Coturnix japonica: one gene and its partner. The protein of the gene in region 2 binds, or shares a complex with, the protein of the main gene of each other region. Links are inferred from orthologs where the notes say so. Each region holds a gene or a part of one and is shown on either strand. Other genes may lie near its edges.

The links.
Region 1: the proteins of PTPN3 (region 2) and mitogen-activated protein kinase 12-like are in contact, whole or in part, in a crystal structure (PDB 4QUM), measured with the Homo sapiens proteins. The link is inferred for Coturnix japonica from reciprocal best matches to the Homo sapiens genes PTPN3 and MAPK12. Residues at the interface, in NP_002820.3 of Homo sapiens: Arg655, Leu671, Asn674, Arg675, Tyr676, Lys677, Asp678, Val679, Arg751, His812, Ser843, Ala844, Gly845, Ile846, Gly847, Arg848, Met883, Gln886, Thr887; in NP_002960.2 of Homo sapiens: Met182, Thr183, Gly184, Tyr185, Val186, Val187, Arg189.

Annotation. Positions count from the first base shown.
Region 1 is NC_029516.1:18,175,001-18,178,653, forward strand, and holds part of mitogen-activated protein kinase 12-like, read right to left. Parts: intron 3,007-3,653; coding exon 2,927-3,006; intron 2,071-2,926; coding exon 1,992-2,070; intron 352-1,991; coding exon 178-351; intron 1-177. UniProt on the Homo sapiens protein: Serine/threonine kinase which acts as an essential component of the MAP kinase signal transduction pathway.
Region 2 is NC_029517.1:46,309,703-46,313,455, forward strand, and holds the start of PTPN3 (tyrosine-protein phosphatase non-receptor type 3), read left to right. Parts: upstream 1-1,308; 5' UTR 1,309-1,338; coding exon 1,339-1,465; intron 1,466-3,753.

The sequences.
Region 1 (3,653 bases), on a different chromosome or scaffold from region 2:
ATTTTCAGGGAGATTTGCTAAAAGGAACACCGACCAACAGTGTTTCTCTATTTCACTGCTGTCCACTTATTCTTTTCCATTAAAAGCTGTGACACTCATCAGCAAAGGAGAATATTTTCATGTCAGGATGGCCTTTCTAGCTGCTTATTCTTTAAAACATCACAAAACTAAACTCACGCTTCCACTCATCCAGGGGTAGATCCATGTTATCAAATGTGTCATCATATTTCTCAGCCTCAATTTCTTCCTCAGGATCATGAATTGCTTCAAAGTAAGGATGCATCAAAGCCTCAGCTGCCGTGACTCGCTCCTCCGCATCCAGCACCAGCATGTTCTCCAAAAGATTCACAGCTATGGGACAGAAAATGAACACTGCATTGAAATCAAGCGCCGATTTCAGCTTATACATAGTAATGCTGCATTGAAGATGCTTCAAAGATACCTACAGATTTACAAAGCAGAATCATTGGGTGCTCATTCTACAGCCAGTGAGGTCCAACTGCACAACAAAACAGAGTGCTGTGAACAAGCTGGGATGTGTACCAAGAAATGCAGAGATGCTCCTTAAATTCCACATGCAATACAGACACATCACCTCAGCTCTGACTTCTGAACTTCTGACTCCAGGTCCACTGCATGTAGGAACTCCCCAGATGTCTGCCCTCACTGCCAGCACTTTGTTGTGGTTATGAGGCACATCATTACTTGGCAGGGGCACTATGAGCAGATGGGTGTAGAGCTATCGAGAATTGTTTGTTATGTGACTAGATCCATGTCCTCAGCATTGGCAGCACATTTTCAAGTTCACCAAGACATCCATGCTCTAAATGTCAGCACTAACTTTATCTGCAACGTGTTTTGACCTCACCAAGACAATCCATGAAATCCATGAACATCTTCAGTGTTCCTCACGGGTGGATTTTGGATCGGGCCCTCTGTGAGACTATCAAAAGGCACTAGTATAAACTGACATGATTCTATTATGTTCATAAAAGTATCCTGTAAGAAAGTTTCTGAGTTGGGTGGAGCACCAGAAAGGAAGAAGGGACAGCAGCATGGGAAAAGATGCTACAACACCTGCTTGGCACATTATGGCTTCATAGCATCATAGAATCATTTCGATTGGAAAAGAACACTGAAATCTTTAAGTCCAACCACGCACCTAACAAGTCCTTCCAACCTTCTCTCCCAGACCAAGAGCAGTTGTTTTTCTTATAAGGAACAGCCAGATGGCCAAAGAAGTGACAGGAAGAAATAAAGTAGAGATGTGTAGAGTTTTCTGCAGCTGGGACAGCTAGTGAGTGAGCCATGCGGTCATGGTTAATAATCCTACTGTATCTTCATATGCCATTTTAACTGCTTAAATACAGAAGATTCAATTGTCCTAATTCATATTCTAAGAAAGCCTGGCTTTATGAGTCAGGTCATTGGGGAACGGATGAAGCTGGGCAGAGCCATCTCAGAGCACTTATTGCCTCAGGTCATGTCACAGTTATGCACACTTGGTATGTTCTTCTAGCTGTTTATATCCATCAAATACAAGCCAGATCTTTGCAGGAATGCACAGATGTTTCTCAGGACGCATTCATTCCATGTCTAAAATGTCAGCTTTCTATTTGTTTGCATTTCTGTTGTACATCAAAAGGACCTTTCAGAATTATATTTAAAATACAATGCACAGAAACCTTTATTAAATATATTTAAATCCCCAGGGCTCTTGAGAAAGCTGCTTCAGTAAAACCATTAAGCACGGTCTGGATCAGAGCCTAAAGCATAAAATACTTCTTTTTGACTCTTTTGAATCATCTGATTCCTGGCAGTGTCTAAACTTGGCACAGTTCGGCCACTAGAATCAAAGTTCTGAGTTATGGAAAGCAAGAGGCAGAGCAGCATGGGAATCATCACATAACTTATCACATGCTGACACTGCTGCTGCCTCCAGTGCAAACAAAACAACAACGGACTGTACACATTGACACAAACTGCCTTACCCAAAGGACTCGCATGCTTCAAGACGGATGCAAAATCCTTTTTCTGGACTTTTGGAAGGCTTTTGATGTAGTTTTTTGCCTTGAAAGAAACATGAGTATTAAATCAGAACTTTTCCTCCTTTACTAGGTACCTTACTGGTGCTTTGACAGTACCTTGCACAAAAGGATATTTTTTTTTGTTCTAAGGCCTGGTTATGTTCATCTTCTTGTTGAAAGGAACAGTTTCTTTTAAACCAAACCTCACAATTCTGATTAAGAAATTAAACATAAAGCTCTGATACCTAATCAACATCTAATATGCTGATTAGAATAAGTATGTATTCATCGTTTGAAAGAATGCCATACTGAAATTTACAGAAGCCTCTAAAAGTGTATGTTTCACAGTAATTCTGTAGTATTCAATCTGCACAGTTCATCTAATGGTTTATTTTAGGTTCTTTATAGCAGGGACTTCAGGATTCTCAAAAACATCACAAGAAAATAGGAAAGAGGAAGTCAGAGACACCCACAGAATGGATGGGCTCTCTGAAGAGGTTCATATTGTCAGTACACTTCCAGCAAAGGAAGTAATGTATCAGCTCAGCTGATTTAAAGTACTTAAATATATTGGTTTTTTTCAGTGTCCTAATCATTTTGTTTCCTCTTAATGTCCAGTAATTATTCTGGCTGTGAAACCTCCAAAGTAGGCAGAGAATCCTCCATGTGGCGCAAGTGGTAGAAGTGCCGCTCTGCTACACAGGAGGCTCGAATCCCAGGGGTTGGACTCGATGACCTCTAAGGTCCCTTCCAACTCGCACAAGACTGTGATACTGTGATACTGTGATAGATGTGCTATCAGGGGTCATTTCAGCAGCCAACACACACAATCTCAGGCAGTCTAAGAATTGAGAATGGCCCAGCGCACACAACACAGTCTGACAAAGCAGAACACTCACCTCCTGACTCTTCAGTTTTTGCACAAAATCTTGACTTGGAGTACCCGTTACTTTCATGATTTCTGTGAGCTGGTCCAGATCTGAATGCCAGAAATAAGGAACAAAGACTCTCACCATAGGATAAAAATTACGTGTTTCTTTGCTGCTGGAGAATAAAGCAAAACCAACAATGCAACAGCTGAACAGGAGGCATGTAAAAGATGAGCTGTCAGACATACAGAACTCGTAAACAGGACAAGTGATGAATTCTTGCTGTATTCTTTAGCACTACACTCCGCTGTCTGTCACAAGCGTTCGGGCCAACAAAGTATCACCTAAGGTTGAAGTATGGCCAAATCTTAACTATTTTCTTAAATTGTCAGCAATGAAATGACATGACTAAATATTTTCTGCACATCTAAAATATTCTACTATGTATTATTTACATGGTATTTTGGACAAAAGCCTCAAAAAGCTTGAAATGGACTAGCACATGCTCATAAGTTCATACACTACACCAGAACTTTCTGTGCTGAAGTTGTGGAACCTATTGCTACAACAAATGCATATGTATATATATTAATATTTACCTTTTGTATTGTCAGTGAAACTTTTAGCTGATGATTTGAGGCATCATTCAATGGATATCCCAATCCCACTCTCTATTGAGAAAGTTCAGTAATATGAGTTTTAATTCGCTGATGTACAGATGTGGTACAAGTATCAAATAACTAATTAAATACAAAGA
Region 2 (3,753 bases):
TTTACCCAGGTGAGAGAGAAGCAGGAAACTGCCATACTACATCATTCTCCACTAAGGAACCTCTTGTGGACCTGCCATTTCCGGGAGGATGTAAAGTTCTTATAAGTGAGAATTGGTTTAGATTTTTTCTCTCAGCAAAACAGAAACTGGACTTGTACTGAATTTTATAGAATTATTTTATTTATTTATTTTTTTACAGCATAAATAATCAGGTTATGACAATAAGGTCACACTCCTTGTATAACACGACACTTGGCATGCATGCAATCTGAAATGCTCACTGCTCATTGTCTGCCTCATCCCAATATTTTACAAGTGTGCAATAATGATAACTTCCTCTTTCATGTGTGTTTTGTGCATAGATTTCAAAGCACTTTCTAAAGAAAGGGAGCTGTAATTATCTGTGGTAGAGATGGGGAAACAACAGAGAGCTAAAGCAATTTGCCCAATGTGACAGGGCAAATTAGAGGCAGAGTCAGGTGTAAATCCCACGTCTACTGCTTTTTGGCTCTTTCCTAGCCACAGCCTCACTTGCACTCAACAATGCTTGGGGGTGCAACTGCAGTAGGAAATGGCTATGGGGATACTTTTTGATGTGCCCTAATGTGGAACTGGTGCAAGTCATAATGAGGGGCCACTCTTGGCATGAGGTCAGCAGAGAACTGGTAATTAAACTGCATGGAGCTTTCAGGGCCATGCTGGGGGCTCTTTGCTGAGACCTATATAGGGGTTGTGCTAAGGCAGAGATTTTTGTGGTTGCTACATGGACTTAGCTTCTCTGCAGGCAGCACCAGTAACCTTGCATTCTCCAGTCTGTGTATCTAAGAAATCACGGCCACATGGTTTGCATCAGTAGCAATCAGCGCTATTATTCATGGGGGCAGAGGTCTCTATGGCAGAGATATGGGGTTGTTTTATCCCACAAGAATCTATGCCCTGTGAGATGCAGAAGCAGACCATGCCACCTGTGTGCATAGCAAAAGGCTTGCTGCTCTCCCACGGTGCAGAAGCACCCAACTTATACCGCTAGCTGTGGTTTATTTGGCATGTAAGACTGATTCTAAATTACTTCCTGCACGTTCTCAAGCAGCTTCCCTTTAAAGTGCAGCAGCTGTGACATTTTGCAGGTTCTGTAATTTCAAATGAGGCGCTAAGAGACTACTCCTTTCAAAAAAAGTTCTTTTAATGAAGGTGGGTACCTGTTGCAGTGAATCAATTAAAGCTCTTCTGACACACAAGATGCGTGTTGCCAGACCTGCTGCACAGGTTTGTCAGGAGGAAGGATAACATGTGACAGCACACAGAAGCCAAGAGGGCTGGAGAAGATCAGAAGCTCGCATGAGCGAGCTGAGCTTTCCAAAATATTTTCTTGAAACGCTATTCAGAAGACCCCTGAACTCTCTGGCAGGCGGCACCATGGTGGAGCAAGAGATCCTGCTGTCGTGTGCTTATCCTCAAGAAAAGTGTAAGTGACCAAATGTGATTTTGTATGAGAAATGAAAGCAGGACACAGGAGAAAGGAAATGAAAGAAACGATCTAGCTATTATAATTGAAAAGGCAGAGGGAGTACAGGGGAAATGCTAAAGTGAGGAAATAAGGAAGCTATTAAATTTATATTGTAGGGATGCAATTGAAATATGATTAGTGCCTTTACAAGCAAAAGAAAGGATGCTTGTATGAAGAACTTTGATATAAAAGCGTCTTGAGGAAACTTGCTTTAATGTTTGGCTTTGTGCTTGTATTTGTGAGGTACTACGATGTGGCACTGCAGGTGTGGTGGAGAATGTGAACAGTGTGCTCTGAGTAACTCAGACGGCAGCTTGGGGGACTGCAAAATCTTTTTCTGGGAAGTTATAGTATGGTGAAAGACAAAAATGGAGGTGGTTGTTGTTTGACTGTACAAACTGTCCAGAACTTTATGCAAATGTCAGCTGAGATTTACAGCACAGTTCAAAGATTCCCAAATCAATCCCTCTCTCCCCAAAGGAAGGTTTAACATAAATATTATTTATCTTACTAGAGACCATATTACAGTCTGGAAAGAATAACAAAAATCTTTGCACGTGTTTGGTTATAACAAGATTTGGAGTATCTAAAAAGTATTCTGAAAAACTCGGAGTTCAGCTCCCAAGGTGCCCAAGAAGAGCGTGTCAGGCAGGGAGGGAGGCAGCTGGCTGCAGGAGCAAGGCACTGCGCCTGGCCTGGACTTGTCTGAACAAAACGCTCAGCAGAGGCAAGAACGGAACTGGTATGTCCCGAAGCCACTCCAGTGTGCCGCCTGAGCAAAGTTCAGCGCTAAGAAAACCTTCTCTCTTTGAACTCCAGATACTTCACTTTTTGAATGGGTTGGCTTGTTTTGGCAACACGAAGAGGATGTTATTTAAAGCTTACTCCACATGGAAGGATTGGCTTTGTTCTGGATGTGTGCCTCTGTGCAGAGCTTGGTGCTGGCTAAGAGCAGGGAGGGCTGGGATGCCAGCAAAGATGCAGTTTACCTGTGGAGAGATGACTTCTCTCACAAAGCCCCAAATGCAGAAGACGACAGAGAATTAAATTCTTCCTGCTGATCTGAGTTAGGAGCCAGCCCGCTTGTAGCCAGCCAGCCTTAAGGGGAACCAGAGTTGTGGTTGCTTTGCTATGGAAAACCAAGTGCTTCCTTTGCTGCTGACTAGTTGCTATTAGAGGTTTTCATAAACCTTTACATATGCAGGCTATCAGTAATTTATTTTTAGCTTTGCTGTAACATAAACAACCTGAGTGAATGCTTTTCACTTCCTTTCTTTTTTCTCCTTTCTTTTCCTTTTTAAAAAGCAGATGAGCCATTCTGGGTTAAAATCATCCAGTTGCCATCTATGAAAGACAGAGGGTGAATGGAGTTCAAATTGCACAGTTTTGTATATTATATACAACTTCACACTGCGTGTCATTGTTTTTGCATGTGTAAGAGAGAAGGATTTCCCAGTCAAGCTTGGCTCCCAGTAATGCAGAAATGTGTCAGCTGCAACGCATGCAGCACTGTAGAGTCTGAAAAATATGCACAGAAAAATCATAAGAAACACAAAGAAAGTAAATCCATAAGAGGAAGGAAGCCAGGTGATACCGCAGGATGCACAAGCTGGGCTCTCTAATTACATCTTCTGGTGGCATGAGTCAGGACTGGTCGCCCCCTGAAGCCACTGGAGTTGCTCCATGGGCTGAAGAAAGGGCCACGTAAAGAATCAGCCTTGGCATTTAGAGCATTAAGCACTTGCCAGGAACAGGTAGTACATCTTCCTGACACATTAACCAAACACCACTGAGCACTGAATATCTCAGTTCTGGTCATGAAGGGTCAATCTACCCCAGTAGGCGATGCATTTGAGCTCAAAACTCTGTGCTTTTGTGAACTGGTCTGAAAAGTTGAACCATTGCAGATCTTAGCTTAAAGACAAAACCAAGCCTTTTAAGAAATCCTTCCTGCTGTATCAAAATGGGCAAGGGATGTCTTTGTGAGTCATTGGCTATGTATCTGTTGCTATGTGAATTTAACAAGACACTCGAAACTTCATACCTGAAGTGCCTAGCTGTCCATGACAACGTATTTCCATATGTGTGTCCTGTTTATTGTCATTTATCTCTATAAATGATTTTCAGGGGAAAAATAAGACGTTTTATGGTGAGCTTTTTTTGTCTTCCAAAACATGCTGTGATGCTTACAACACTGAAGATTAGACCATTGTTAGTCATATATTTTCTATAGGTCTGCATAGGTT